2 linked regions of the Daphnia pulex genome follow. The protein of the gene in region 1 interacts with the protein of each later gene in a pairwise test. Links are inferred from orthologs where the notes say so. Each region holds a gene or a part of one and is shown on either strand. Other genes may lie near its edges.

Evidence for each region.
Region 2: the proteins of protein trachealess-like (region 1) and aryl hydrocarbon receptor nuclear translocator homolog interact in a two-hybrid assay, tested with the Drosophila melanogaster proteins (3 studies listed by BioGRID). The link is inferred for Daphnia pulex from reciprocal best matches to the Drosophila melanogaster genes trh and tgo.

Annotation. Positions count from the first base shown.
Region 1 is NC_060024.1:9,200,727-9,217,318, forward strand, and holds protein trachealess-like, read right to left. Parts: upstream 10,797-16,592; 5' UTR 10,262-10,796; coding exon 9,891-10,261; intron 6,488-9,890; coding exon 6,162-6,487; intron 5,575-6,161; coding exon 5,113-5,574; intron 5,025-5,112; coding exon 4,903-5,024; intron 4,821-4,902; coding exon 4,585-4,820; intron 4,513-4,584; coding exon 4,406-4,512; intron 4,340-4,405; coding exon 4,192-4,339; intron 4,125-4,191; coding exon 3,560-4,124; intron 3,496-3,559; coding exon 2,698-3,495; 3' UTR 1,799-2,697; downstream 1-1,798. UniProt on the Drosophila melanogaster protein: Transcription factor, master regulator of tracheal cell fates in the embryo, necessary for the development of the salivary gland duct, Malpighian tubules and the posterior spiracles.
Region 2 is NC_060018.1:4,544,990-4,560,011, forward strand, and holds aryl hydrocarbon receptor nuclear translocator homolog, read left to right. Parts: upstream 1-1,739; 5' UTR 1,740-2,258; coding exon 2,259-2,454; intron 2,455-2,533; coding exon 2,534-2,573; exon of another isoform or gene 2,574-2,880; coding exon of another isoform or gene 2,881-2,885; intron 2,886-2,952; coding exon 2,953-3,030; intron 3,031-3,153; coding exon 3,154-3,314; intron 3,315-3,381; coding exon 3,382-3,702; intron 3,703-3,772; coding exon 3,773-3,865; intron 3,866-3,921; coding exon 3,922-4,471; intron 4,472-4,556; coding exon 4,557-4,901; intron 4,902-4,959; coding exon 4,960-5,039; intron 5,040-5,104; coding exon 5,105-5,182; intron 5,183-5,242; coding exon 5,243-5,472; 3' UTR 5,473-6,526; downstream 6,527-15,022. Other genes in the region: NF-kappa-B inhibitor-like protein 1, read right to left, coding at 1-589, 649-958; PI-PLC X domain-containing protein 1-like, read right to left, coding at 8,442-9,011, 9,072-9,328, 9,406-9,534, 9,601-9,657, 9,747-9,844, 9,909-10,314, 12,478-12,568. UniProt on the Drosophila melanogaster protein: Heterodimers of tgo/trh are involved in the control of breathless expression. Plays a role in the cellular or tissue response to oxygen deprivation.

The sequences.
Region 1 (16,592 bases):
CTCGGCCGCTGCTTCTCACGGCTCTACCGTGCGACACCTAGCGGTCACGAGAAGAAGGGCACACTGACACAACAACTCTCCCCAAGCTGTCACGCCGTAACAAAGAAATTCCCAAATAGGTCGTGACAGCTTCAACACAGAACAAACGAAACACAGAACAAACGAAACCACATGATAATCTGCAAGGGTATACGAGAAAGAAAAATACCCCGCACGCATTTTCCAGATGGGAATGTTGAAGCGAAACATACATCGAGGGACATGGGAATGGTTTTAAACGGAGACAATTAATTTCGGCGTTCGACGGCGCCCGTTACGGCGCGGAGTCGGAAGACCTGCGCGGGGCGCGGCTCTCGTTTGGCCAGTGCATGTGCTCGGGCTGTCATTGCCGGGCTCTTCCGTGTCGGTTTGCGCGCCATCCTTTCCGTCGCTTTCGTCGGTGAGCGCTTGATCCGCGTCTCTCTCTTCACTTTCTTCGGCGTTCACCAGGCGGCGCAGGAAACGCCTGTTTCTCCACAACACACTGCCGCTCGCGAATTTCACACGATATGCGCGATAGCGTCCGATCGCCACGACCACACCTACATGGCTCCACAGCTTCAATTTGGGGTCCTGCACGCGCACGTTGGTGCCGATTGGCAGGGATTCGAGGGCACGCGAGCGAAGGTCGTAGCGTGTCTTGGAGTCCGCGTTGATTGCCGCCTGCCGATCCCTCGCCTCCATGACGGATTTCAAGCACGTCGCGTACGCCGAACGATCGGCTGGGACGATCGAACGAAGCTAGTGTCCGAACACCATTTGCGCGGGTGACAGTCCGTTCTCCCGGGGGGTGTTCTGGAATTTTAGGAGCCCATGTTTAAATTCTTCCGCATCTAGGTCCCCGGATGGGGAGATTTTCTCGACCAATTCTTTGACGGCCGCTTCTGCGTGGCCGTTACTTTGACTGTAGTTTGGCGTGGAATTGCTGACGGCGACACCCCATCGGTCCATGGCTGTTCGGAAAACTCCAGCGTCGAATTGAGGTCCGATGTCGGAACGGAAACGCATTGGGACGCCAAGTTCGACAAAGTTGTCAATGACAGCGTGCAAGACTTCCCGCGCGGTTGGGTCCCGCTTCCATCTGTGGACGACCGGCCATCCGGATAATCGGTCGTCGTAAACCAACACATGGAGCTGACCCGACTGGAACAGGTCGGCTGAAACGTCCTCGAACACGTGTGTCGGCAAGGGGTCGGACATCATAGGCTCCTGCTGGCTGCTGGGCAAACGTTCCTGGCACGTAGAGCAGGTGGGAAGAAGCGTTGTGATTTCGTTAGTAATGCCCGGCCAGTATACAGTCTGTCGGGCCCGCCTGTTCGTCTGCACGATCCCCTGATGGGCCGCGTGGAGCTTTTTGAGGACGTTCTTCCGGGCCGCCTGAGGGATCACGATCCGTTTACCAAACAACACAATACCATGGTCCACTGATAGCTGGTGCCGGATGCCCCAATAATTTCCCACTGCGGCGGGTGCGCGGTCTCGACGGTCAGGAAACCCGGATTCAATCGCTACGATTAACGCGGAATAATCATCGTCGTCCGCGGCCAACGCACGGTTCTATTGTCGGTGTAGTTCTTTGGAGTTCTACTGTCAGCAACCCAAATATAGACAAAGAAGAAATCTGTACTGAGTGGAAATGAAATCGTATGGCTCGCCCTATCCTTTCCTTTAAAGAAAATTCACGATGGTTTCAGATTCAGAGTAGGCCTAGTGATTAGCAGTAAAGAGGTGAAAGTCAGATGCAGTCAAATTCCAGAAGGAGGGTACCGAATCCGTAATAGGTGTGTGTATTAAAAATTTTAAAAAAAAAAGAACGAACTGACAGTAGTAATTAAGCCAGAGATATTTTGTTCTGAATAAGAGATGTATACAAAAAGATTCACATACATTCAAAGTAAAGGGAGGACATGAACACAGAAAGTTGATTTTGCAAGTTGTCTATGAAATAAATAAGTCATAGATTTTAGTGCATGCCGGTTTTTAACTCTACTAAAATGATTATATTTTTATAGCAGATTTGCACACTAACTCAATTGACGATTGTTTTCTCGTCTCAACCCGCGTTCATCATGGTTATTCAAAGCACGTCAATAACAAGACAGTGAAAAAAAATCAATCAAGTTTCTATATCAATCCGTTGTCAATAAAAAGGGGAGAAGCCTAACGATTGATGACAACTGTATGAATAAATGTACAGTACAATTTTTCAGAGAGATATTTAGCACAACGTTTATGTGTTCATGATATAACTGGCTACATGGAATTCTTTTTTAATGGGACAAAGACTAGTCACTGAACATTTTCCAAATCATGTGAATGTTGTCGGATTATTATTTACTTAAAGGGCCACGATTACTTATTGTTTGATGGCGTTATGCTTATTATAATTTTTTTTTAATACACATCTTGTTGGGAGAACTGACGTTGTGTAGTTCGTTTTAGGCAAGAATTAGCACGCCGACTCTTCAATGAAATTCAGGTGAATTCGAATACATTACACGTAAGGAAAAAAACTACCCAATAAACATATTACTATTCGGATCTCAATCAACTCACAACAATTCTTGCACTTCAATTCAACATATCATGATTTCAATCAATTTGTTGTTCGGAATAATAAACCCATGCAATAAAGCACCTGATTTCATTGAATCGACATTAGTTGGGATACCATGTGGCTGAATTGTTGACTGAAGACGCTGACGAGGACTTGGACACCTGCGGATGGTAGAGGTGGAAGCCGGAAGGTGTATGAGAATAGAACTGGCCCGCGTCGGCGGACACCAGGGGCTGGACGGAAGCATACTGATGATGGGATCCGCCTGAATTGTGATGGTGGTGGGCATGGTGGTGATGTTCGATGGAACCATGGCCATAGTGGACGTGATGGTGAGGCTTCAATGCCAGTGGTTGTGTCGGATTGGCAGAGTAGGAAGACTCCGCCGAACCCAGACCACTGTACGCCGAATGACGTAACGAAGCCTCGGCGGCGAAAAGAGCGCCAGCGGCTGCGTCGCGAGGCGAAACTGACGACGGAGGTGTCATGGCCGGCAGATATTCCGGTAAAAAGCTTCCGGTGGCTGCGGAGTGGTAAGAGTGAGAAGAGGTAGGCGGGAAGACGTCACCGGGATAGTCATTGCCACCGTTGACGCCGGTAGGTGGAGTCGGCAGCGTTTCTCCATTGGAAAAATAGCCAGACGGAGTGCGTCCGGCCGCTGCGGCCGCAGCTGCGTGAACGTTGGCGCGTATAACGCTCTCCCTGCTGGCGTAGAGCTGGCGGAGCAACGACGGAACCGACAGGGCAGCGGCCGTCGCAGCTGACGATGTCGAACCCGACGGCACTGGCGGAGCGCCGATCCATTGAATAGTCGATCGTGGCTTACCGTTTGAAAGAAGTGCATCGGTACTGAAATCTGTGGTATTTCCATTCAGTCCATTTCCATCAAGGTCCCGATCCTAAAAAAAAAATAAACAATTTTAGCTCGACTGGCCATTTCAAATCGTTTGACAAGAGTTTTACCTGAAGAGATTCGTTTTCCATGGCACCAGCGTAAAGCCTCTTCCAGCGAGCCACGTCGACTTCGCTTTGGTGATCCGTCAATGTGTTGGGATTTTGCTGATCTTGGATGGATGCGCTCTCGTTACTGTTTGAATTGTCTGTGGAATGATGTTGATTGTTGTTGTCTAGGCCAATCATTGAACTGTCGGTCGCTGACGGAACCGACACCAGATCTTCGTATTTTCGTTTTGCGGATCGATGGTGGTGATGGCGCCCGGAAGGACCGCGACTGGTCCTCATTCCCGACGAAACAGATTCTTCCGGTGGAGCCGTAACGACCTCTACTTCAACCTCGGAAGATGGCCGACTCTGTTCGGAGCTCGGCACGGACGATCGATGCGGATCGATCAAAGTCGTTCCGCTTTTCGGTAAAGATTCCGAGCTTTCGGAACTGGACCCATCCGGCGAACTATGGAGGACGTCCGACGCACCGTGATCGGTTTTGAAAATGGTTGGTTTAATTTGGATGATGGGCGCCGATTCCAGCTGGCACTGATCCACTACCAGATTTTTCATTTCCGTTCGGCTTCAAAATCAAATCAAACAGATTAATTATCCAGTTTAGTTAACAAATAATGGTTGGTATTTGTTACCTGAGAACGTAGTTGACGCAGACGATGCTCTGTTCGTCACCGTTCTTTGAGTTACAAACTACTGTAGCACAAGATTGAATCCAGGTGAATCCTCCGTGACGATTTAGGATCCGGTAGTAGGGTGTCATCACCTGTCCTTTATGCATCACTAACACACAAAAATACGTGGATAATAGCATAACTTAATTTCGCATCAATAATTAGAGAGTCTTACAATCAGTGTGGGCTTTACGCAATAGGCGGACATCTTCCACATGACATAAAGTATAAAGACTCCTGCCTGTCAGATCTTCAGCGACGAATTCCAGGAGCTCAGCAATCCTAATTAAGTAAAAGAATCCCGATATAGCATTACATTTATTTTTAAAAACTTTTGCTGCCTTGGATGTTTACCTTGGTTCACAGTGAATGATCCTCAAATCAAATGCCAGTCGCGTAACAAACATGTCCGGCTCAAGCCGAACTTCGTGAACGGTGGGCGGTGGTAGGGCAATAGCCATAGCAATCATTCCGAGTAAAGGAACCGGTTGGTTCTGGCCTTGCGGGCCACTACTCGGCTGCCCAACTCCGGATTTACCGGCTGTATACGCTTGGCTTTGTGGCCGAAGTCGACAGAGAACCATCACCACCTTGAAAATTCAAAAATAATGACGTGATGAAATATTAAGGAAATTGAATTTGTTTAATTTTGAAAACCCAACAATCAATTACCCGATAGCCGGACGATTTAAAGTGGCAGCCGCGTTTCGTTAGTGTCGATTTCATTCGAATGCAGAAGGAACGGTCAAGGCCCTGATAGGCCGAATTACTCTCAAGACTCATCAGCGAAGTCACTATATTGGCAATTTCGTTATAAAAAAATTTAATTTTAGATTAGGAGTTTTGTGATTTCAAGTTTTAAAATAATAATAATAGTAATACCATCAGGATTCATGCAAGAGTTTCCATCATCAACACTTCCAGTGCCAGAAGCAGGCGACGGTGGCAGTTGTTGAGACGAGCTTGTCGCAGAAGAACTGGCAGACTGGTGGGTCTGATTAGTGGCCAGTGTAAGGCCCAGTTGTTGGGCCAATTCGGCGTGATCTGCGGTATGGACGTAATCGAAGACACTGCTACCGGTCATCTCGACCTGTGACAGGCCCAAGTAGATGGACACCGTTTCGGAGATGTAGAGGAATCGTCCGTCGGAGCCCAGGGAAAAAGCGAAGCCGTCCAGACTCTGCAAGATGTGCGTGCCTTGGTGCTGGTCGAACAACTCGACGTGAATGTTGGCCGGTATCGAGTTGTGTTGTTGATGCTGCTGCAGCTGCATTTGGTGGTGCGGATGCTGCTGCTGCTGCTGCTGGTGTTGATTATGTTGGTGGGATCTCGAACGACTGTTACCTATAAACGAATGTTTGAATTTTGTGTTTTAATTTATCGATAATCAAATGAACAGAGTCCTCGTATAATAGAAAGCCTTTTGGTTTTGAACCCGATTTTTTAACCTACTGTGGTTACTGTAAATGTCAGAATTCGAACGTCACTTGTTCACGAGGGAGGGAGAGGTAATCGAATTCAACTTTCCATGACAAAGGAGAAGGGAGACTGACAAAAGTTCGGGTTGGGGGGTTTCTACTGTTCCGTTTCTCTCTGTGGTCTGTCTGTGTGCTGGTGCGACTGTAATATAGAGAAAACCGAAGGGGGGGGGGGGGGGGCATCATTGATTCAATTCAACGTGATGATGGATTGTCATCGTTCAGCCAATCGTGAAAACTAAATCCTCCTAACGTCCCTTCGTTTGTCCAAAAAGCTACAACTGGGTAGTAAAGTTCATGACGCGCGTATGTCATGATTAGTTCGTCACTTTGACTAATTGATCAAATCAGTGGAAAAGTTGGCATTTGCATTTACCCCCAGACAGACAAGCAGGAGAGACTGTAAAGTCTCTAATGAACTTATAGGCCTACGCATGAACATTATATACTAACCTTTGTTGGCCTTGTTCGATGATGAGGAAGAGGATCCTGATGCCGACGATGACCCTGTGGACGACGTTACGTTTGACGAAGAATTTGAATTGGCGGATGAGATTGACGAAAGCGACTCCTTGATCCAGGCCGGGTCGCCGTTGCTGGAGAAATCTTTCAGCCGGAGGAATGATATAGTCAACCTAATGATGGACGCCTTGTCCAGTTGGGAAGTGATGGCCGGCGGAAGAGGTAACATCTTGGCCAGTTCGTAAAATTCGTAATTTTCTTTGCCGCGACGGGACCGCGCCGCATCTCGTGATTTCTCTTTACGCATCTCCAATATACTAAATCATCCAAAAAAGGGCAATCATGAATATTGGCTTCTATGAAATAGAACATACGGTAGTTTAAATATGCAGATCATGTCGTCAAAAATTTCCACCACTGGTTTATCAACCAAATCAAAAGTCTCTCAGCTATTTCCACAGTCTCGGTCACTCAATTGCTAAAGGTGTAAACCGTTTACGAGTGTGTTTTTTTCTCTCTCTTTTATACTCTGCCTAAGCTATAAATAAGGACGACGCAATCAAATGTCAACGGTTTGAAGCCAGTACTACCGGTAGCCAATATAAGAAGGTTGGTTCAGTAGACGACAGGCTTGAGCAGTCGTTCTCCAAAATGGGTCTTTTGGGGGAGTAGGGCAACTCGTACATTGCGGGTTGCCCAATATGGCATACAGTGGTGAAACGGCTGTTTTCACACTTGTGACCTGTCGTCTACCCTCCCCCTCCCCTGTCATGGTTATATAGAACTCGCCTTCTTTGATGCTCTGTTGTGTCTATTATATAAGAGCTTGTCCGCTCAATGGTCGCCGCTGTTTCGAACCGTGCGATGACTATTGCGTCTTGGGTGTGTCCCAACAGGGTCGATCCTCCAACAGGGGGGAGTAAAAAAAATGTATATAAAATAAAACGCTGGCCCGTTGTTTGAAATGATCCGGACCACCGAACGGTTCCCGACGGAATACAGGCGGAGAAATATACGTACGAAGGGTGGAATGACACGGGCAATAAGAAGGAAGAGAATAATATTTATTATTCTGGAGAGAGAGAAAAAAAAAAGACCAGCGGATCATATTTGTACCAGCAGCAGTTAAACGTTGGCGCATATAGGAGGCCTATTGATGTAACAGCAATGTCAAGGCCTACACAATAACACCCTTCGACTGAAGGGGGTCGTTTTGATATCCAGGGCATATAGGGTCAGATCAATAATTGCCGGGGTATTCAGATGTAAATGAAGTAGGACTAGTCACAAAGCGCATATCTGCCTCATATTTAGGGTGGCAAAAGGATGATCAAGTACACATGAATAATAGACGCCCCATGTCCATTTAATAATAAATACGGCGTGTTTCCATCGGCGATCGCAACAGCATATGCCTATGCTTGAAAATGACATTTATAACACGTACACAATGTCTCTATGAACCTCTAGTTATTGTTGGGCTCTCTTTCCAAATGGTATCACCGAGATCGTCTATTATTTTTCAAGAAATAGATGGCGATTGAGATAATAAGAATAAGGATCTTTGTAGGTGGGTGTGAGAAGTTGGATCGTTCCATCAACCGATTTTCAATGAGCTCTTTGATGGGACTTTTTGAAGTGGGCAAGAGGGGAGGATTGGTGACTGGGGGGCACGTGTCGGTGTTAGCTGTAAACACAACAAGGCGCACTCAAAATGCGCGACCATTCCGCCGGGGCCGTTTGTTGCGTTTGAGCGACAGCTCACCCCATTCTTCATATCCCTTACAGATCCACGCAAGTCGGCAGCTTATGTTTCACCTGTATAAACGTATGCAATACAGCCTGTAGGCGCATACATAATCACACACATCCTATAACCGGAAAATGTGATAGCCTTACCAGCGAAATTGCCGGCCGTCCGCCTCTGTTGTGACAGTAGATGAACTGTCACATCGTCAAACCACGTCGTGTGCCACCTCCCACGTGCATACTTGAATGGAAGGCTAATTGAATATGAGCATATTCCAACATGCCATAACTGATATTTTTTTCTTTATTTTCCTCTTGCTCAAATTTGTACATCGTACGTAATTCAAATAACTTATACAAGGAAAAGTTACGCAATATGTTTCTCCCTTTTGAACTAACGGTCTTCAATAATAATATTCTTGAAGTCACGAAAATAATAAATCGAAAATGGTTGCAGTAAATTCATTTTAAAATATTCGCTTTGGCCTCATCATCGACTAATCCTTATCGGACACGCAAATGGCCTGAATTCAGACTTTTCCTTAAAAAAAATATATACATTTCAAATGACGAAGTGTTTGCCCATGACGAACGCATACAAAGTGTAGATCGATGGGGAGTGACAGAGTGCAACAAAGTTGTTGAAAAGATCAAAAGAAAAAGTTGCTCGGAGGGATATAGCGGCCTATTGATTTAGCTGGGCGCTAGCCACATGATATCGAACATCAGTAGATCACACCGTATAGGTCAATTTGAAGGCTTAGGCCGAAGCAAATGAAACATCTATATAGACTCCCAAGTCTTGGACAATCAAATTGGTAGACTATTATATAGAGGCCTATATGCGACGGCCTAGATGGAGAGCTGAATGAAGTGATCAAAAATGCGCATCGCCCTGGTCATGATATACTCTCGTGAGGATATAATATCCATAAGGGAGAAAGCATCTATACACCCAACCAGGGTAACAATAACACCCTCCTCCTCCTCTTCCCCCACACACACAAAAAAAGGCCCAAAGTAAAAGGAGCCATCAGCTGAAGGGAAATAAAAATATACAGCACACGAGAAAGGGAAACCAAATTAGCCGCCATATTGCTTCCGAAAGATTCGGCTGCCGCTCCGGAGCGTCTAGCCTGCTAGATCCCAGCCGGACAGACACCTCTAGGCTCGTTGATTTCGCGCCGAGAGACAGAAAAAAAAAGAAGAGAGAGATATATATCCATCATGTATGAACGAATGGCTCTATCTCTGGCATCAAAGTTAATCCTGGAGTGTGATGTTGGCGGAATCCTCCAGAGGGTGGAGGACAAGCTAGCGACTGGACGATTGGATTATCCGTCAGCCCCCCTCTTATAGTACAGCAGTAGTGTACACTATATACTCTCTCTCTCTCGTCTTTTCTATTCTCTTGATTCTTTTTATGTACTGCGTTCCGTGTGATGGCCGTGGAACCACTTGAGAGCCAGTTGCAAATGGCTCAAGAACAAGTCCACAGATAAGAGAGAGAGAGAGAAAAGACCTGCACAGCCCGGCTGCTGGGTCTCAATAAATCAACTTAGCATTTCGTTCCCCAGTTGTGAACTCCCACTCTCTCTTCTTTTACTGATGCCTTATTCTACCGACAGATCTGTCCAAGAAGAATGCCCATCCTTCCAAACTCGGTCGTGTTTGTGGCTATCACGAATAGAACATTACAGTTAACTCTAGAAAATAAAGCGATTCAGACAATGGCTAGACATCAGACGAAATAGCCATAAATTAGAGAAACTGATGGACGAAATTCCATCACTGTCGACGGAAGCTAATCTCTGCGATCATCAACGATCGATGCTGGAATAAAATTTAAAAAAAAACATGCACACTAGAGACGGGCGATTTCATCCGAATTTGTAAATATCTAGCCGAACCAAAACCAAAAAAAAAAACTACGTGAAAAATGCGGACGCTTTCGTGTTCTTCCGGACTGACCATGAATGAGTGTAAGCAGCGGAGGAGAGAGGTGAGCGACGTTGTTGCTGTTGTTGCTGCTGCTGTTGCTGGTGTTGTTGCTGCTGCTGCTGCTGCTGTTGGTGCTGGAGCGACGAAGCCAATGCGGAGTAATCCGCAACGGCCGAGTGGTGGTGTCCCATACTGGCGTGACCGACCAGGGTTCCGGCCATGGCAGCGGCGGCGGCCGCCGCTGCCGTTAAACTTCCTGGACCGCCAGGGTATTGATGATGCGAATATGGCGGCAGAACCATCCAAGAGGCGGACGAAGACTCGTCAGCACTGAAATGATCGCGGATTCCGGCGGCGGTGGCGGCGGCTCTTCCGCACAAGCCCAGAGCGTAACCGGCCATCACGGGCAACAACACAACGGAAGTAAAAAAAAGAAAACGAAAAAAGAAAAAAAAAGAAAACGGGCCAACCGCAAAAGAAACTGTCCCGTTCAAGTTGAATTCTGAATTCCGGAGGGCGCAGGGATTCGAATCATCGATTCCGACCAGGTCACTACTACAACTGTCCAGTAGCCGGATGCTCTTGCATATCAATGATTCGAAACGGAGGGTGGACTACTGACTTGCTTCCGCTTTTTCCAGTCCCCAAAAACCGAAGGACGTGAAAAAGAAAAAAAAAAACAGGAGGAGGAGCTAGGAGCCCTAGGTATTTGTTATGATGTGAAGGTTCTCTCCCGCCCTGCAGCCCGTCCGTTGTTCAACCGCCCTTTTTCTTCCGAATGTGACCGGGCTGATCAAACAACTCGTCCGGCACCGGGAGCACGATTTGGCTGTGCAGTCCAAGTAGTTCAACAGAGAGAAAGAGAGAAAAAGAGAGAGAGAGAGAGAGAAGCAGGTACGCACTTACTGCTAGCCACTGGGATGGAGACTGTCGCCGTCGACTCCTCATCCGTCCCATTTGGTATGAGCGCCTCGTTCTTCATCCGCCCCCACCTCCCTCCTCCGCCTACTCCCGACCACCCTCTGCCCCCCCCCCCATTTCTCCTCCTACTCGATTCACTAAATAAAGACGGGCCGAGAAGGAAAACGCGAGTCCACAAATCCCAAGTCCCATGTGCAATCGATTTCGTCGACGCTTGTCAGTTGAGTCTTGTACAAAATGTCGATTCGACCGTCAGACAAAAAAAAAACTAACAACCGCGTCTATCGTTTATAGATAATACACAACCGGAATTCCGCTAGCAGAAATAAAATAAAAGTAATGTTTTTTTTACACCAAATATCCGCATCAATCATAAAAATAGAAGAAGACAAAAAAAATCCCAGAGAAAAAACTTTGATTCACTTTGTCGTTCAAAAAATGTCTACACGTTTCTGTTTTCAAGTTTAGATTGGTCGTGGGACTCTTTGGCCCACTTCTCCTCAGTTGGGTGGTGTAAAACTGTGAGAGATTTCTGGTCGGCTATATTAGCCGCGTCAAGGCGTATCCGGCTCTAGTGATTCCGGATATACCATACAAAGTGTTTATACGAGTATTATTTCTACCCGAGGACATGGGACCTGATATCGGCCGCTTGCCATGGAACATTATAACATACTGTACAAATAAAAATAAAAGAAATGATATTTACACACTTCGAACAACAGGAAATGTCTGGAGATGTTTATCAGCCGATCAATAAGATGATCGGATAAAAAATAAAACTGGAGATGTCGTGTGAACCGTTCGTCTTTTGTTTCCTAAATGACCATGGCTTCACGCATATCAGCGACGCCAAGAAGAAGAAGATTCCCCGGTATTAGTCCGACGTGCTGTGATTATTATTACACGTTCTATACGACTGATAACAACAAACAAACAAACAAAAAAGCGAGAGACTTATTTATATTTCCCGTCACACTCGCACGCCCACAGTTGCACGTACTTGGAATAGAGTAGAATCACGCCGGCGTGAAACGTCCGATCGCAAACGAAAAAAAAAAATAATAGCCGCACTGGAAATTCGTCTCGGTCAGTTAAGACATTTATTATTACAAATTGCCATCGAAAGAATGACACACAATCATAAAACACAACGACACTAGAAACATGCGCTGTATAGTCAAAACACGGGACGGGAGTCTGAGGAACCTCCGGCTATTGACAGAATGGGGTGGGTGGGTACGTCCGTCAGAGGAGAGTTGATGAACTCGACAAACGCAAACGGTAGCCAATCAAATTGTATTATCAAATCGAAACCCACTAGCGCATCAGCGCTTCTCTTTCTCTTTCCCACTCTATAAATAGAGACGACGGCGACGTCGCAGCGTCGTACATATAGGAGCAATTAACCGCCGCGTATGTGTAAGTTGGCTACCGTGGTAGGAACCCAAGAAGAAGAAGAACCCTTCATTTGTTCATGGAAATTCAATGCAATTACACACATCAACCATCGCCACTGCGCGCGCGTGCTCCCGCCTCTCACACTCGCAATATTGGATGCGGACGGATCAAAAGTACACACACACAGGAAAAGGAGAGGGGGGGGGGGGATTTAGTGAGGGGGGTGAAAAAGGGGGTTGAATAGAAAGAAGAAAAAAAAAGACGGCAGTGGCTGCTATACGTATAGGCCTATGTATATGCAAGTATTGGATTTGCGACCATATAGTCAATACATGGCGAGGTCTTTCCGTTTTCGATCAAACCAGAAGGCTGGCCATCAGCTAACATACAACGAACCCTCCAATAGACCTTGATTACCCCCCATGGCAGACCTTTAGAATTTTTCTTCTTGTGTCATTTCACTCCCCCTTTCCCTTCTGCTCGTGTGCTTACATACTAGGTTAGCTCGGGTAATTCAAATATGTTGCACGAGCAGTGCCGAGCTTTGAAATCGCTCATTCGTTAACATGTATCGGTTTGGGGGAATTTTCGGGGGTGGTTTTGGTGTGGCAAAAATAATCGGACTAGCATTATTGACATTTTCGATTGAGACAAGTTTTTTTTGAGTGAATTCAATTCAATTTTCGATTGCGCGGCAAACAGGGCAGGTTTGGTTTTCTAAATGCGCAGCGTATATAATTATAATTTCGTTTTAATAACGTTGATCAATCTTCGTCTATTTGACGGAGCGAATGGATATACATACCGGTGTCATCCAATTTTTCACGGTTGCCTCAATCCTGTTTGAATTAAGATGCGTGTGACAAGACGCTCAATTATTTACCGGCAATTATTCAAGATGGGGGGAGATCTCTTTCATCAGCGAAACTACAGTTGCCTAGATAATACCATCATCGCTCATCAAAACAAATCAATTCAAATGATTGAAGCGGATGTCACGATCCGGTCTCCGTCAACTCTCCGACGACATTTCCAGTTGGCATTGGCTATAACATGACTGGCCGCGTTTTAATTAGTGGCGATGCGATCCCAATGTCCGACTTCTGACCCGAGAATATTATTTTAAAAATAAATAAATATAAAAAAGAGGAAAAACCCCTCCATTCCCGAATTACTATTTCTCATCACGTCGTCATAATTAAATTGATCGCCGGGAAAGGCCAGAATCAAGCAATCGAGACGGCCCAGAATATACGAGAGACGACGAAGATGAAATGAAAAAAAAAAAGGGAAAAACATCAACACAACAATAAGAGCCGACGACCACACCAAACAGCAGCAAAAGAAGAAGAAGAAAAAAAGAAAAAAACAAATTCTGAAGAAAAAGAAAGCCAAGAATAAAAGTTGGCCGGGAGTCAGATGATGGTTTTCAATAAGGCACTAATGATGTTGAACTAAACCCATGACCGTCGTCGCCCGCGCTTCTATTCTATAGGTCACGTGTCAACAGCCGCATCACACACACACACACACACACACACACACAATCACTCTATTATTACCAAGTGAGATGTTGCTGGGCTCAGCGGACGCACCGGCCCAGTACAATTGGACCTATAAATGGTCATGCTGAGGTTGCAGATGATTTTCAACTCTCGCATTGATTGTTACCTTTTTTTTTTAACGTATGGGCATTAAACGGACTTTCTTTCTAATGTTTGATTGGAATAAAAGCAGGGTGTTGGGCAGTGATCACGTAAATATATGGCCGTTATTCAATGTAATCGTGTTATGAGCTGCAGCCAGTGAGCAGAAAATGAAACTGGAAATTGCGGCGATAAACAATATCAGAAAGGAAAGGGGTTTCGGGGTCGCAAGTGTTACGTACATTTATGGTGTGGTGGTCAGTGAGGATAGGGGTGGTTGGTTGAATAGGAGGGGATAACAACAAAAAAAAGGGGGGTTTGATGAGGTTGTTAACGACGCATTAACACATACATTACAGACCAAAGCCGTGGGCAGACCTCTAGATAATAAACGATGTTCGATATGTGTTGTGCCACTGCTGCTGCTGCTGTGTATATAAGCTAATACTTAACCAATAAGTCCAGCGACGACAAATGGCTTTTTTTTCGCCCACAACACACGTCGCCCCCCACCCCATACTCCCAGTTCCTTCCCCTCGAGCCCTAGTAGGGTCTCTGCATCGAGTTGGATATTGCTCTTTCGGTTCACGGGCGCGTGATGAACTGAGATATGGCAGAAGAATGGAGAGTCAAGTTGGATCAAGATGATGATGAAATGGGACAAATGTCACTGTACTCTATTGACTCATCGCTTAGCCTTTTGCAGTGTTTCATCTGCTCGCTTATATCCCTCGCATCTCCACAAAAGAGCCCGGGTATCCATCAACCGGATTGCTGCCGCCATACGTGCCTTCCGTCCCGCTTATCACGCACAAAATACGGACCCCGTCAAAAAGATGAGTCGGCCAAAATCTTTCTTCGTTTGATGTCGAAGTGCTCTCCATTTTTCTCTATAGGCCTACTACTACTACTACTACTCGACTTGGGATTATTTACACCTGAACTGCACCTCTTATGCAAACAGCTTTTTTGGGAGTCGAACATAGTGTGTAGGTGCATGACAGACGTACACAAAGAGCGCGGGACATGTAAAACAGTTTGTATCAATCTGTGAATAAACACATTTCACGTCTGCTGAATTTTTCGCCGACATGTACTATCTATCTGGAAAAGGGACGCCGTCTATTTTTCTATGTGCACGCTACAAGTCTAAATCAAAACGGTCGAATGTTTGCTGTCAACTGTCACGTTCTCTCTCTCTCTCTTCTGCATCTGTCCTTGATGCGTGATTGACATTTCAAATCAGTGCGCCATAATCAGAGCTGCTGAGAAAAACTCTCCAACACAACCGAGTAGAGTACGCAGCACATCCATATTATTGTAGTTCTTTGGGAACGATGTGTGTACATGAGGACGTGTTGCCGACATGGTTCATGACGAGCCTTTCGATGTGGCGGAAAAGTCAAAGAATTTTGTCAATTGATATTTCAGGCGAATGGCAAATTCACTGAAAAACGAAAATTTCGATTTTGGATTCTGGCACGATCGAGTCCCGCGTGTGATACCACGCCATTGGGAGAGTTGGGGAGGGGGTGGGCTGGACAGAGCGAGAGCGCATGACTGCCGATGCTCACGCCCGCTTCTTCGAACATGGAAGAAAGTAGGTGGAGTTTCTTGGGCGTCCGGATGTCGCCACCGTTGGCAAGTGTAGGGAACTGTCCAATCACGAAGCGCGGCGTGAGGGAAGACTCTCAAGAAAGAGGATAAATGGCCGAGGATGAAGGGAAGAAAGAAAAAGAAAAACCACCCAAGATGATTACTCTTTTATGGATGGAATCAAAATCTTGCAACGATCCGGGGGGCTCGGAGGAATCAGCCTTTTCGGACAAAAGAGCCTCATTCGCCATGAATAAATTAGATTTTCCTGTCTGCTGTCGCCCGGCAGCTCCCACATTATCATCAATGTTGGGTGAATAGGTTCATCTTTCGGTCGCGGTAGCACTTGATGGAACTCGTTGAGATCTTTCATCAAAGGAGGGGAAAAATCGGGTGGGTTTCAATATCAAAATAGCAAAAATCGTAGCGCCGTCTACAAATCATCTAGTCGTGTTACTTAAAGTAACGAGATGAGGATCAAATGGACTTGACAATTTCCCCCCTACAAAAGGGACAAAAGACCAGAAGGGTCATAACCGTTGATCCAACTGGAGCCCTTTGGATTTTCTACCGGCCACTCAGGACACACGAAATGGCCCTGGGTAGTGTGTTACTCATCAAAAGTATGATCAACTGACCGAGACCTTTTGACCCAGGGTGTTGCAGTAATTGTACCCAGAGACACCCCGGAAATAAAGGCTGCACCAACTTTTTATTTCATCTTTTCGGCTATTAACACGTACAGACATTTAGGCTTGTGCTTTATGTCGTAATAAATCCTTTGTTGTCTGCGTGCTCATTCATTAAGTTCATTTGTGGTTAATTGCTATACAATGACCTTAAAAAAATGTTCTGACTTGGTTTAAAGTTGCGCCATGAGAAATAAGTTTGGTCGGGTCGAAGGCGTTTCCGAAAAATTGTGACGGCAAAGAAAAATCGATCTGTCATCTTTGTTTTTTGTCTGTTTTATTTATTTATTTTTTTCCTTCTCTTCTCTACCCTCTCGGATGGATCTCATTCGCCATGGTGGATCAGCAGGGTTGAGGGAATCCCTTCATTATGCACGCTCCATGAAAAAAAAAGCCTTATTGCCAGCAGGTCCCTGGGGTGTCGAAACCGACACCTAACCGCAGTTTACCAACAACAACCATATGCCATCAGCAGCAGC
Region 2 (15,022 bases), on another chromosome or scaffold:
ACGTGCGCCAATATAAGTTGTCCAATCGATTCAACATCATCTGTGGGCTTAAATGGGAGGTCTGATATTTCAATTTGATCTTCAGTTTGAATCAACAAACTAAGTTTGGTAAGGAATGTAGTAAGCTTTTGAGTAGCTTTAGCCTTTTTTCGAAATTCATTCCGCATTTCTTCATCCCGCAAGAATTGCTGTTGATCTTCCGTAGACCAGGATGGCTTCAATTTTGGTGGGGATGGTGGTGTAATATGAAACTTTTGATATGACATTTTTTTCTTATGCTCATCAATCATTCTTTTGGCCCAGGAGTCATAAGATTCTGTTTCATTTACATCCTCTTGAACAAAATCTTCTTCATATTTTCCCCAGTGACTTCCATATTCATCATCTAGTTCTGCTGAAAGTTTCTTCTGCCATTCTTTTTCATCTTTCTGTTGAGAAAACTCTGTCTTTTTTTCATTTCCTCCTAAATGATACTCATAGACAGAATCAGCAAGATCCAAAAGATCTTTGGCAGTTTGGCCTTCCAGATTAGGTTGTGTTAATGAAACAGCCATTTCTTTAAGATGAGCAAGTATCATTTTCCTGTAAGCTAAAATATTTGAATGTACTAGTTTCTTTATTTACTATAGATTTCGAAAAATAACTTACCAGTTAAATATTCATTTCTCCCGTCAATTTTCATGATAGCTTTCAATGCCAGGTGAAGTGGTGTGTTGCCCTTGCAATCCATTGAAGTTGGGTCTCCAAGAGAATTTTCCAACAAGAACGCAACAATCTCATGTTTTCCTTGTCGACACGCCAGATGTAACAATGTTTCTCCTTTTTTGTTGACACCTATCTCGTCCAGGTGGAGTTTAGCATACTTCCTTCTTCTTGCGTAATGTTTCAGTTGTTCAACATTATTGGATTTAACGCAACTGATCAGCCTGTCAAACCGCTTCTTCGTTTTCGATGACATCGGAAAACATAAATAAAAACCAAGTTGTCTAAGTTACAATGTAAAGATTACGGAAGTAAAGGAACTCGAGCTTTTCTACATTTTTATTTTTGTTTTAATTCGTCTGCTATTTGTTAGTGTTGCCATTTGTTAAGTTGCGGATTAAAGTTTCGTTGACAGTCCAATAATTTTTCAGAACCTATCACAAAAAAATATTTATTGAAATTTGATACTTTGAAAAATTTATATCAGTTTTTAAAATAAAGTTTTACCGGTCCAAAGTTCGATTTGGAAAAGAATCAAAAAGTTCTCTCCCTCTTCGTATTCCATGTTGCCACGTTCAGAGAAAACATGGCGCTAGGCGTATTGTGACGCGAAGAAGTTGGTTTCTAGCTCTACGCAGTGAAAACTGACATTTTTAAAGTTTATTTGCACAGATAAAGCAAAACTACAAATAGTTTGTGTACAACACGTTTAAACTGTGAAGACTTGATCGGAGAAGGTCTAATTCGGAGTATTGGGAGGAATCTAAGGTTGAGGGACATTTTTGACAGCTTTGTTCCTTTTTCCTTCATGGACATCCATTTAGCAGGACTTCATCAACTGTCTGGTAATTGCCTTTAGGTTTATTTGTTATCAAGAAATTGTATATCTTAAAAATCTGTTTTTATCACGCTTAAGATGTTTTACTATGTACCCAATTTTATATTGGGCGTAAAGCCAGGGGAAAAGCTAAAGTGCATTATACCATTATAACCAACCACTTAAGTGATTGAATGTAAAGCAGAATAGAGATTTTCTTACTAGTGTACAGGAAACATATCTAAATTTTCTTATTTTTTCAATTATCAAATGATTATACTGTAACATTGTGTTTACTACTACCTCAGATGGGTTTCCCGCAATAACCCTAGTTGTGTTTAATGTAGCTCAAGTTAATTTCTTTATAATGGGTTCAAGAGTTCAGTGTGCAAAAGAATTTATTCAGCAGGTCAGGCACCTTTTTCCCCTCATTCCCACATCTATTATGTCATTAGGCAACAAAGCAAAAGCAGCTTCCCTTATCTTCCCCTGATTGTTTCTTTGTTTCAGATCGTGTATAAAACGTCTCCTTTTCGCTGATGCAAAGGACAAATAGTTTCGTACAAAAAAAAAGGTTTTGTTTTCATATCCGCTTTAATAAACTGGGTTGGATGATTTGCGATGTTATCGATTTCTAAGTTATCAGTTGCGTGGGAAAATGTTAGCTTGAACGTTAGTTGCGGGAGAGAAAAAGGAAAGCTTGCTTTCAGCTGCTGAGGGTCAACAGTCTTCTTGGGGCATGGATCTATCGCCTGAGGCAAAATTTCCTCTCTTCTCCCGTCAGTTTTATCTCGTTTCCATGAGACTTAGACTTGAAAATTCTTTTCACGTTTTCGTACTCTTCACCCGTGGATTCCAGTATCCCGCGTTCATCCGCTCATTAAGTTGTCCAACCTCCCTTTTTTTTTCTTCTTTATTGTCTGGTTGGTTCCATGGTGCGCACGTTTGCTAGATGGTAATTTATGAAAATGAACTGACGTAATGTCTTCTGTTGTTTGCTTGTATTTCTCACAGGATCAGACTGTCGGCAAAAAAGGCAACCCGATTCTCTTGGGTAAGTCCTCTAGCGCACATTCTACCCACTACCCAACACAGGAAGATTGATCACCATCAGAGTCGATTGTTGTTGCTCAGCCGGAACCGAAAAAAAAGCCATTTTCCTAAATAGTAAAGATCAGACAAAGACATTCTCCTCCTACCGGCCTCTTCCCGTACAAATATTCAGTCACGATTCGAGATAGAAGCGTTCGAACTTCGAGGTCAACATTTAAAGAATTCTTTATAGAAGTACTGAAGGCATCCGCATCCGACTTGCGCGAGTGTTGCCCATTTGTGATTCACAAACTTTTGTCTGTGATCTAATGCAGTAGTGTTTTACTTATTTAAAAATGTTTGAGTGTTAAACGTTTTCTCATTTTCTTCACTTTGATCAGTTCGGACGACGAAGGAAGTACCAGCAAATTCGGCAGGATGGAGGACGACAATATGCAAGACAAGGAGCGGTTTGCCAGGTAAGAATTAGCACCTAGTTGTACACAATTGTGAGACGTCTGTTCCTATTAGGAAAGGGTCCGATTAGTTTGTAAGTGTCGAAAAGTCTGCAGATGTTGTCCGCCGCCCTTTTATTTTTTATGTAGGGAGAACCATTGCGAAATCGAGCGCCGAAGGCGCAACAAAATGACGGCTTACATCACGGAGCTGTCTGATATGGTGCCCACTTGTTCAGCACTGGCCCGCAAACCAGACAAGCTGACGATTCTTCGAATGGCTGTAGCCCACATGAAAGCTCTCCGAGGTCTGATTTTCTACATTGCCAATCACGGACTTGTTCATTACATTTCTTTCTTGTTTTCGTTCAACAGGAACGGGAAATACAAGCGCCGATGGGACCTACAAACCTTCCTTTCTCACGGATCAAGAATTGAAGCACTTGATTCTTGAAGCAGCCGACGGCTTTCTTTTTGTGTCGGCTTGTGACACTGGCCGTTTGATTTACGTTTCCGATAGTGTGACTCCAGTCCTCCACCAAGGTCAAAGTGACTGGTTCGGCTCTTGTCTGTACGACCACTTGCATCCGGACGACGTGGAGAAAGTCCGTGAGCAACTGTCTACCCAGGAGCCTCCTAATGCCGGTCGTATTCTCGACCTAAAAACAGGAACGGTCAAAAAAGAGGGGCATCAATGTAAACATTTTTTACCATGAAATTTCATTGATTTCTTTTTTTAACCACTTCATTTATATTTCAATCGTAGCATCTATGCGGTTATGTATGGGTTCGCGCCGAGGGTTCATCTGCCGAATGAGGTTGGGGCAAGTGTCACCAGATCCTCTTACATCACCACCAGGTAGTAGTGTATTGTTGAACAACTTTGTGAATTCTGTTGACACCATTTATCTTCAGGCCCTCTACATCGACTACGCCAACGTTCCGCCTTAGGTCCCTCGCGCGATGGCCATCATTATGCCGTCGTTCATTGCACAGGATACATCAAAAATTGGCCGCCTAGTGGCGTACCGATGGATCGAGGAGTTGATGATGATTCTCACTCTGGATCTCACTGCTGTCTAGTGGCCATTGGTCGCCTTCAGGTCACTTCTACTCCAAATACTTCTGACCTAGTTGGATCCAATTCCGCCGCAGAGTTCATCTCACGTCATTCGGCTGATGGCAAATTCACTTTTGTTGACCAGCGTGCACTCAATTTGCTCGGCTATTCTCCTCCTGAACTGCTAGGCAAAATCTGCTTCGATTTATTCCACCCGGAAGATGTCAGCCATATGAAAGAAAGTTTTGAGCAAGTTCTCAAACTGAAAGGCCAGGTGATGTCGGTCATGTACCGATTCCGATCAAAGTCGCGTGACTGGATCTGGCTTCGAACATCTGCGTTTGCTTTTTTGAACCCGTACACTGATGAAGTTGAATATATCGTCTGCACCAATACGTCGGCCAAGTAAGTCCACTTGTTTTCAGTTATGATATTTTTCTTTTCTGTTCATCTAGACTGAATTTGTTTGTTTGTTTGTTTTCCTTGTTAGATCTTTGCACCATACTGGTGATGCGACTGTTTCTGGAGAAGTTTCAGGAACAGTAGTCGATCCCACAGCTGTTGGGGCGACAAGTAGTGGGTTGGTGTCTGCCTACGGTCACGCCAGCCAAGATTACGGACGAAGCGCACGTGAAGTTTATCATGCACAGTCGCTGTCTGAAGGTCAAGGACGCCCGAATAGTAATCAGACCATGTATAATCCTTCAGCTGCTGCCTCGTCACAGTACGAAACAGCGTCAGCACAGTCTGTCGAAGGTTCATCCAATTCTGTGTTGAACCGAATACCCTCGGGTAGCAGTACGAAACAGTCGCCAAGCCCTACCGCCTCGGCAGGGTATGATAGATGCTTCATTCAATTTGTCTTGTTCTTATTAAACAATTTCTCTCCTTAGAAGTACTGCCTGGTCAACACACGCTACTGCACCGGGTGGCTACTCCGCTTACGAAGGAATAAGCCCATCAAGATCTCCAGGTATTTTCCCCTGACAAATGAAAAATATTGTACTATTCTTAATGTTATTTTATAATGAATGGCAGGAGGAAGTTCTGGTCCAACTTACACGCAGCTAGGCAGCTCTGCAACAACTGGCCGAGCTGGATACCACCAAAGTTCAGGTAAATTGATTTATTTGGTTAATTATTTTGAAAGCTTATATTAAATGGTAATTTAAACAGGACTTTGGCACTGGCAATCACCCGTAGTTCCTCCCGCGGAATCTAGCCCGAATAACGGAGGTCCCACTGGCGGAGGGGTTGCAGGTGGTGGAGTTGGTGTGCCAACTACATCATCGGCCAGTCATCCTCCTCAAGGATCTGAATTAGTGACGGACATGCTTCAGATGTTGGATCACTCTGGTGCGTCAGGTTTCGAAGATCTGAACATGTTTTCGTCAAACTTTGAGTAACGTTAAACCCCTCCCCCCTCTCCCTCCCCCTTAAAAAAATAGTTGCATCTTTTGTGCTCCTACTACATGTTGTATTGTTGAGGTCATTCATCTCCATCCTTGAGAACTGTTGCCGTGCACTCCGAGCGTATTTGTTTTTACCCATATGTCCCTCCCCACACCCATCAGCATCGGAGCGGCATGCCATATGAGTGCATTTTTTTTTCCTCTTTAAAAATTAAATTTGTTTTATTATGCATTGAGCATTGTAAACAAGGGCTTTACTTTTCCAGTTCTTTATTTTAACGAATAACGTCAGTAAGTGGGTCTCAAATTCTTGACCAATAAGAAATCAGCAGCACCCGAATGTTTTATAGTTCAAGAGCTGGCCCACCACGATCCAATTTGCATTTCTTTTCTAAAGAGAGAATTAATGCTGTTTCATGTTTTGTCAATTTTCTTTCAAAATTGATTTAGTTTGGTAGCTTTTTTATTTCTAAATGGAATAGTGCAAGTTTTTTTTTTAATATGTATGAATGTTAATCTTTTTTCTTTCTTTCTGTTTCATCACGTATTGATAACCAACCCCTTGTGCTCATGATTGAAATTGAGCAGCTTCTTGAATGTGAAGGCGAATGGGATAACCTTCCTTCTTGTCGAGACAATCGTCACCTGTGGCGTTCCGTTTACACACTCACCTTCTCCCTCAATAACCCTAATTTCTTCTCAGTAATTTGTAAAACTGTCAAGTCGTGAAAGTGGGAAGAAAAGTTTGAGTTGGCTTGTTTTACGATCTCGTCGAAACATCATGCCATCATATCACCTCTCTGTTTTTCATTTTCGTAAAGATCAAAATACCTAACTTCACTTATCTACCCACCACATGTACTACCCTCAACCATTTTTTTTTTTACTTTCTCCATTTTCCCTCTCCGTCTCTTTTAACAGATAGACAATACGTGAACCCATTCCTATTGTGAGCTGCACAATCTTGATCTAGTACCGTCGTAATATCGTAGACTCGAAACATGCAATTATATATTTTATGAACTTGAATGAATGATGTTGTCTATGACTTTTCCTCGGTGTTGTTTTCTTAATTTCCTACATGGCGAAACCAAACGAATCTTAACGAGGTGGCTAAACCACAACTGTATATGCAATGCGTCCTTCGGAGGGAATAACGCGAAAAAACGTTTTACGCAGTTTTGTTATCCGGGCGTAGTGTATTGACGTAAACAGTGGACTACATTCCCATCTGACATTTTAGCTTCCATTTGTCACACCTGCAGGATAAAGAATCACACGTCAAAGAATGGTGCGATTTGCAAAGCAGTAGAAATTTTGGTTATCCTTCTACAACTCCTCCATCCTAATTTTGAAAACGATTCTGGTTTTTGTGGTTTTTGGAAAGAGATTGGTGGGATTTTGTCCCCGTATCTAAGACGCTGAAAGGAAATCCCGTGGTAAATAAACGACCACATTGTACGAACATGCTAGCCAAGATTAGCGAAAATGAGATAGGTTAACAATTTCTTACGTATGCCGAATGACGTACAAAATCACGTCTTTTAGCTGGGAAATTGAAATAGGATGTAATAATGCCCGACTGCGCGGCATGCGTACATACTTTCCCGTTTGCCAAAAGAATGGACGCGCACTTTGGTTGTTGTACAGTTTTCACTCGCGGGACCCGTTCCGCTTCCACCTATGCTACACTGACACGGATTTCCTACATGCTCGCTCCATTCCATTCGGAGGCTTGATTGCTAACCGATTCAAGAATATATAAGATGCGGTACGAGCCGTCGATCCATCAGAACGGTTTTCTTCATTGGGAACGACACTTAATCCCACTTAGTTTTTGTTTCGCCGCTCCCTGTTTCGTTCCAGTCCAACAATCATGAAGTTTTTAAGCATTTGCATTGCTCTTTTGCCTACTGTTTGCGTTTTGGTACCTTACTGCTTTGCCATACCGTTGTTGGAGTCTGTACAGCACAACGAAAGTCTCCGCATTCAAGGAGCGCAATCATCGCAAAGAAATGTCGATGCAGTTCAACTGTTTCCGACTGTTTCCATCTCCACTGAAGTCGAGGACCTGGGTAATCATTCGGAAACTCTGTGTCCTTTCCGCGTGGAAAATAGAACGTTGGAAATGGATCATCACCTAGGAAACTTTGTCATCGAGTACACCGAAATCGTTTGCCGGGGATCGTGTAAGCATTGCAACGCTGGCCGCAGTTGCAAGCAAATTATGACGCTGCTGGAAATCAATCTCAACAACACTGTTACCGGACTGATGGAAAATGTTGTCTCCACTGGCGTCGCGATGGGCTGTACCTGTACTCCTGACGATTCCGGAGCTTCCGGCGAAGACATCCCTTAGAAACTAAATTTTACCATCCGAGTCTATATTATAATTCAATAAAATCTCAAATTTGTTATTTATGGATAACCGAGTCATTGTTTTGGTGGTTTAATGTACGAAGACTTTTTGCATTGTTAATGAATGTGTATATGGTTTTCTGATTGATTACTGTTCCTGTGATTTTTAATTTATGATTTCAATAAGTTAAAGTGTTCTAATATTGTTGAGTTTAATAGAAATGTCCTTCAAAGACAAATTTTTCACTCCTTGCACTGACTGTCAATCCTGCCAGTCACATCTGTAATTAAATGGTTAAAAAAGTGTTTTCACCTACAAATGATATGCACATCCTTATATACCCCATCACTTAAGGAAATTGGCAACATGTTCTAAATTTTATTTGGTGGATTTATTCGAGTTTTTGCGTGTTAAAAATTGTAGGTACGGAAACAACACGAACAGAAAATAGCCTGAATCGGTTATTAATATTAGCTAAATCATGACAAACAATACAAGCAATAACACTAATAAATACAATCAAACGTGTCGTGTAGTGGGTTTGCTTAAAACTGGGTTCGATATAGTCATCATCACCGGGGTATAGATTAAAATAATTGCATGTTCAGTTTAAATTCGTAGTGGTAATAACCGGTAAATTTGGCGCTACGATTGCTGTCGTGTTATTCTTGGGCCTTCGTCTGCGTGCAGTTATTCTCGGTGAGGGACTGGTCGTGTCTAGACTTATAGGGGTCGTTTCCGAAGTCGATTCAGCAAAGTCGAGGTTACGAGGCCCTAGATAAAATCTCCGTCTATCGGTTGCTGTCGACCGTTCTTCCGCTGCCGTTTGCTGGATTGTCGTGGCACTCGAAAGGGTAGTGGGAACTACGCTGGAGCAACGAGCACGTTTGAGACTGGCGTCGATAGCCACGTCGATGATATCGGTAGAATGGAAAAAGTCGACAGCGGCGATACTGGTCGTCTTCCACCAGAGATCACGATACCAAGTCGTCACGTTCCTGGCCACATTATCCGCCAATTTTCTGAGCCCGTCATTAGGACGAAACAAAACGTCCATTGTTGATGGAGTCAATTCTGCCATGGCAGCCCAAAAGTAATCGGAATCGAATCGCTTGTGATCAATAACCGACAAATATCTGTAGAGATCGTCGACGTTTCTTTTGTCACCCCATTCCTGGGCGCAAAGTCTAAATGTTATTCACAATTAAACAGAAATAAATAAAATTAAACGAACCTGAGGAATGGATGGCCAAAGGAAAGGATGAGATGAGCGGGTCCAATCATCCGCATAGACAATGATAAGAGTTCGATTGATTGCCCACAGATCATTCATCGTCGTCATGGGGCCGAAGCTGGACGGCACCATGTAATCGCCCAGCTTATCCGACAACAATTTAACCAATCGGTCGTGAGTTTCTCTGTTGCGCAGTGTGTTTTGACTGAAGCCCACTGGGAAACGGTGGAAATCGAGAATGACGATTTCGCGTGTCACTGTTTCAGAAAATAACCCAAAACTGATTAGATATTTTTAAGTGAGTTGGTTTGAAATTATTAAAAGATTCGAGAACCTTCCAAGAAATTTTTCAAATCTTCAATTAGGAAACGGAGAGGATTGACTCGGGCGTAGTTGTGATTCAACCAAAATTTGTCATCCCTTTCTGGGTAATAGCCGACACGAACATCGAGATATCGGATTCCTATTATAATAGGCCAACATTTTTGTTATATAAGGTCGGTTGAATTCAATAGAAAATGCTCCTTGCCGTAGGATAGCGAGTGGAAAATGTCTTCATCTTGGCAGATTAGATATCGCATGAAAACTCCAGGGAATAAATGGAAAACGAGGTCATTTTCAAAATCCAGCATAAAAAACTAATTGATCGATATTAAAACTGCTAGGCCTATATACCTGTATCGCTTGAATGGCCGTTGTACGGACGATAGCTTCCGGAATTGTGTGTACCCGGAAGGAATAGTTGGTAAAGAGGCACAGAACCGAGTTTTTCCCTGTCCCAAGTGTAACCATAATGTGTGAAGTAACGGGAAATGACTGAAACCCAATCGAAATTACCTATTTTGCCACATCCACGAAGGACGAAGTTTGATGCAATTACTGCTGACGGTAACTCCGTTGCGGACGTAGCCGATCCAGAAGCCGAGGCAGGACGAATCTCCAGTGAAAAGATGTCGGTCGACGGCGGGGAATCCGAACTGAACGTCGGTTTTGTGGTAGCCGCTGTTCTTTCCTGTTGCCACAGCGATCTGGCGGAGCGGAAGCGTCGGGTTGTTTGTAGGGTCGTGCTCATAGAGACCAATCCAGTCGCCGGGTTGAGAGGCCGCTCCATTGCCGTGCCAGTTGAGTTCGATTTGCCTCTGCTGGCTGTTACCACCGGGCAAACTCTTGGCCAGCGGCGATAGTGTTAGGAATACCCTGGGACTCTCGGCGGGCGGATAGAGCGGACTTGTCCAGCATTCCTCTGAAAGAAAATTACATGCAGAGCACACATAGATATGTTGACGTCCAATTGATAACCACGTCAATACTGTTGATCAACCTGTCAATCGCGAACCCAGTAAAGCCGTTTATCTGACGGACGCGCGTCATCCGTGCAACAACCACCGTAACCTTATCATTACGGTTCACATGTTTGTTTGGTTTATTCCCGTGTCAATAATATTTTTGGTATCAATTTCTTTTTTTATTATTATTTTGTTTGTTAAAATGTCAAGGAAATCTGAAGCAAACACCAGCAATAAGTCAACCACCACCACCTTTCCCGACGAGCTGCGGTCGTGGTAGTGTATAATAAAAATGGAAGATAAGCGGCACGACGGGTCGACACTATAAGGAATTTGAATCTCTGAACTCTTCTTGATTAAGGGTAGCGACGCTGATTCTCGGCGATAGCCAAATCGACGATGTTCCCACCCAAGAAGAAGTCCAACGACACAATGTTGGCCAACTCTGACCAGCGATCACGGAACCAGTTGGTTACGTTACCTGAATATTATCGAATAGACATTTTGAGATGAATAATAATAACACGTTCCAGTTGCCATTTGATCATTGGCAGTTATATATAAATAATGGGAATGAAATCATATATCACACGATTGACGAGGTCCGCTGCGTTGCGTAAACCGTCGAGCCGATCGGTCATGACGTCGAGCGAGTTGGGCGTGAGTTCCGACATTGCAGACCATGGTCTGCAATTGGCAATTGGAATTTGCCTGCAGGCGAATTGCCCTTGAGCAGCGTCTTCCATCACGCCAGTCAGATAAGACTCCAAGTCTTCCACGGTATTGACGTTGCCCCACTGATGTTTAACGGCTGGCCAAAAGTACGGCGCGCCAACATGATTGGGATCGTTGTAAGTCACGATCAATCGTTTACCCGATGACCAGAAATCGTTCAGAGTCGCCTCCCAGGTCATGTCGGCCGGGGCCATCCACTGGCCGAATTCCTGATAAAGGAGATCTTGCAGTTCCTGGTGGGCTCCCGGTTCTTGGTCCAAATTATCCACGCCGTGGATGTCAAAAATGACAATCTCCTCCGTTCGGCTGATGAATTCACGGACGAGCGCCGTGTCGTTGACCAGTGGGCGCAAAATGTAGGATCCGTGGTGAGTGTAGAAACGGACATCCGCGCCGTTGGGTAGGTTGGGCGAGAAAATGATTCTCATGTCCAAATAACGGACACCGAACGAAAGCTGATGAAAGAGATCTTCATCCTGGGTGGGGGCGTATAAGTTTTTAAATGATTTAAAAATGTCTTTGGCCAAAAGTTTCGATTGTTTTCAGCCGGAGAGACCTTTTTTAAATTCATCAACTAATTATTCGTCTACGGAGTACGGATAATAAAACTTGCCTGAGTAATAGCATATTTGGTATCAATTTGGTCTGAGCTTAGTCCGGCATATCGTTCGTAGGCGGCCGCATCGTGAGTGCCGGGCAAATAGAGCTCCCTCAATTTGGCGGCGCTAATCCCGGTGTCTTTGAGGTCGGCCATCCAATTGGGACGGGCTCGGAGGCAATTACAAGCGACAATTTGGCCGTCCAGGCGGACATAAGCCGCCCAATAATATTGACAGCGCTCATCAATCAGATCTCCAGCTACCCAATGAGGCATGTTGGAGTTGAGACGGACCCAGGAGGCGTTGGCCATCTCGGCGTCAATCGTCGTTTGCTCAATCACCGCAGAGCCCATCGATTGGCAGAAAGATGTCTCGGAAACATACTGGTAGAGGACTATTTGATCCCCCTCTTGATATCCTCCATCAATGGACCACCAGGAAATCTCGAGTTGCCTCTCCTGGATTTGCCCGTCAACAACCCGAGCCAAAGAGCCGACCCCAACCGACAGATTTGGCATTATGTTTGCTTTGCTATTAGATGACGCTCGGGATTGTTTGAGCGTTCGATATCCACCACCTTATTTATTGTGCGCCCATCGGTTAGAGTTATGGGAAAGCGAATGAAACCAAAAACCATAAAAATGAGAAAATCAAAAAAGAAATCAGGAAGAAAATCATAAAAAATAAAGAAGGAATGAATTTAGGAAAACTCGCAAAAGAAAAGCGAATAGGACCCGTGCTGTGACGCAGTTTCCAGTATAGCAGGAAATCATTTGTTATGTATACCTGTTCCTCCTGGAGCTGCTGGTAGGGCGGACGATATGACGCAGCCGAATAACAGCAAAGACGCAATCAATGCAGACCGATTTTCGGACATTTCCGACGGATGTTTTTTCCTTATAAAGCCAAGGAGAAAACAAAAGACAACAAGTTAAAGCTCAAGTCGGTGATCTATTGGGTAGGTCTGATATTATCGATCTGAAATGCGTGACGCCCTTGTTGGTTTTTCTTATTATTTATTCTCTTTTCGGTTGACAGAATATCCCGTTGGAAACAAGGTTCTTAATGTTCTCCCAACTGGAATGTGATTGATATGGTAGTAAATGGGACAGAAGAAATTCATAACTCCAGAAACAATAAAATTCGTTCCGTCTCTGTTGTACTATAGTATTCCCCATCCATCCATCCATCCAAAAAGGAGCGTGCGCACTCGAGACGCATCACAACAAAACAAGACCACAACGACTTTTTAGCAGCAGCTTCCCATCACCCCGATAGCCATAACCAGTCCGAATAAGAGTATCAACAAAGCGTATATATAACGATGTACGGAAAAGAAAAAGAAAAACTTCAATCGTCAGAAAATCGACTGCTCTAAAAAAAAAGAAAAAGAAAACTAAAAAAGTTAAAACTCACTTGACGAGTGTGACGGTTGCCCTTCCGGGTTGTGAAGTTTCCGAGATGAAGAAATCGATGGAGACAACAAAAAAAATAAACGCTTCGATGGGTTTGGCTGCTGGTCGCCTTTCGGAAGTGGAACTGTTGCGACGAGAAGCGCACACACACACAACACCCGTCGTATTGAACGGCAGAAGGAACAGAGTCAGTATAGTAGGGGCGATGGAGGGTAAATTTGGCCGACGAGACAAGACACGCAAACCGTGAGGAGAGTCGATGCGGCTGCGCAAAGAGCCGCCCTCCTCCGAGACTGCGATAACGAAAAGACGGCCAGTCTCTTTCTGTCTAAGTTTCCTAATTATCTCCTTGACGTAGAGAGAGATTACAGCTGCTCTGCACTTGAATTGTTCAAGAGATGTTGGCTGCGCTTAAGACGAAAAGAAACAAACACACCCCTACACGCCCCCACTGCGCACTAGAACACGCCAACACAACGTCATTACGCAAAGTAATCAAGGAGATGAGAGATGATGCTTGCTTCTCTAATTTCCTCAGATGCCCATTTAAAAGAAGCGCAATTTTTATGCCGTGTAGAAATATAAACCACCGGTTGGCGAGAGATCCGTCTGCCGCTCCTCGAATCACGGCACTGACGAAGCCAGAGCTACGGTTCAACATTGTATAGTTCTCCTGCTGCTGGTAGCTGTCTGGTATAGATATATACTCGGAGGAGGAATACGAAAAAGGAGAAAACTATTGGCCAGCACTTTTGCAGGTCTCTCTACCTTCTTAATTCCATCTACGCCAGTCCATCTTTTCTCGTGCATGTTGTTTGGTGTGGAGGTTTTTAGTGCATAGACAGGAGATAAGTTTTTTCCGATAAGATTTGACCGAAGCCCGTATGGACGACAGCAAATGCTAAAAGAATTTCGCCGTGACCTGGTATGGTCTGATAAGTATCGGAATTTATTTTGGGGGAAAATCTACCGGGAAAATTTCTCACCTCTAGAATATTGTAAAATAAAATTGGGTAACAAAATGAATGACGCAATCAACGTCCTCGGGGTGAATTCCGGACTCTGATCTGAACTGAACAGCAGAAAGTTGAGACTTACGGCATGCATTATTTCGATTCCTTCCGTTATATTCCGGCCATTCATTGGCATATTGGCATGCTACCAATTCTCAACAGTTGAAGAAGAAGTTGTCTGCGTCGTCATATTCTACCAATCTGTAAGGGTATAGTACAATATTACCTGCATCTGCGCGCCGATTTCCCTGCAGCTAAACACCTGAGCACGGGGCAGAAAAGCCAGGCTGTGCTTGCTGCTGCATTGGGTGCGTGTGCGGTTGATCTTGCTCGCCTTTTTCTCTTCATCGGGTTATAAGAATATGCAGCAGCAAGAAGCTCTGGAATTCAGACGTGTGAATCTAGGGCGGATTGGGTTTTTGAGGCTAAGAGCATTTTAAACTATTGTCTGGTTCACTGTATACATACTCACTAGGGGAAAAAGCCATCAGCGAGGCATCCGAAGTGACTAGGTCAATTTTCGACTATTACAGCAGAATAACCATGATCTAATTCCGGCTGTCATTCGGGGCTCTTTCCCAGCTCACTCTTTTAGCTTTCTCCTGTCAATTGGCTGATGAATCCACCTGCGGGAGGATTCGCTCTAAATAGAATAATAAATGGGGGTGAACAGCTGATGGCTCATGTTGAGTAATCATTTTTGACCATACACACTATATACATGTAATTTGATTCTGCGTCGTTTCTTTTTGGGAGGCTTTTACAGTCAAAATGAAATGAAAACGCGCCATTATTACGTAATTGAAGACGAACGTTTTTTTAAATGTATTTTCCCGCTGACTAAATAGTTGGCGGTAAAATCAAACATTGAATAGAAATCGTGCAGGTGCGTATCTTGAATAA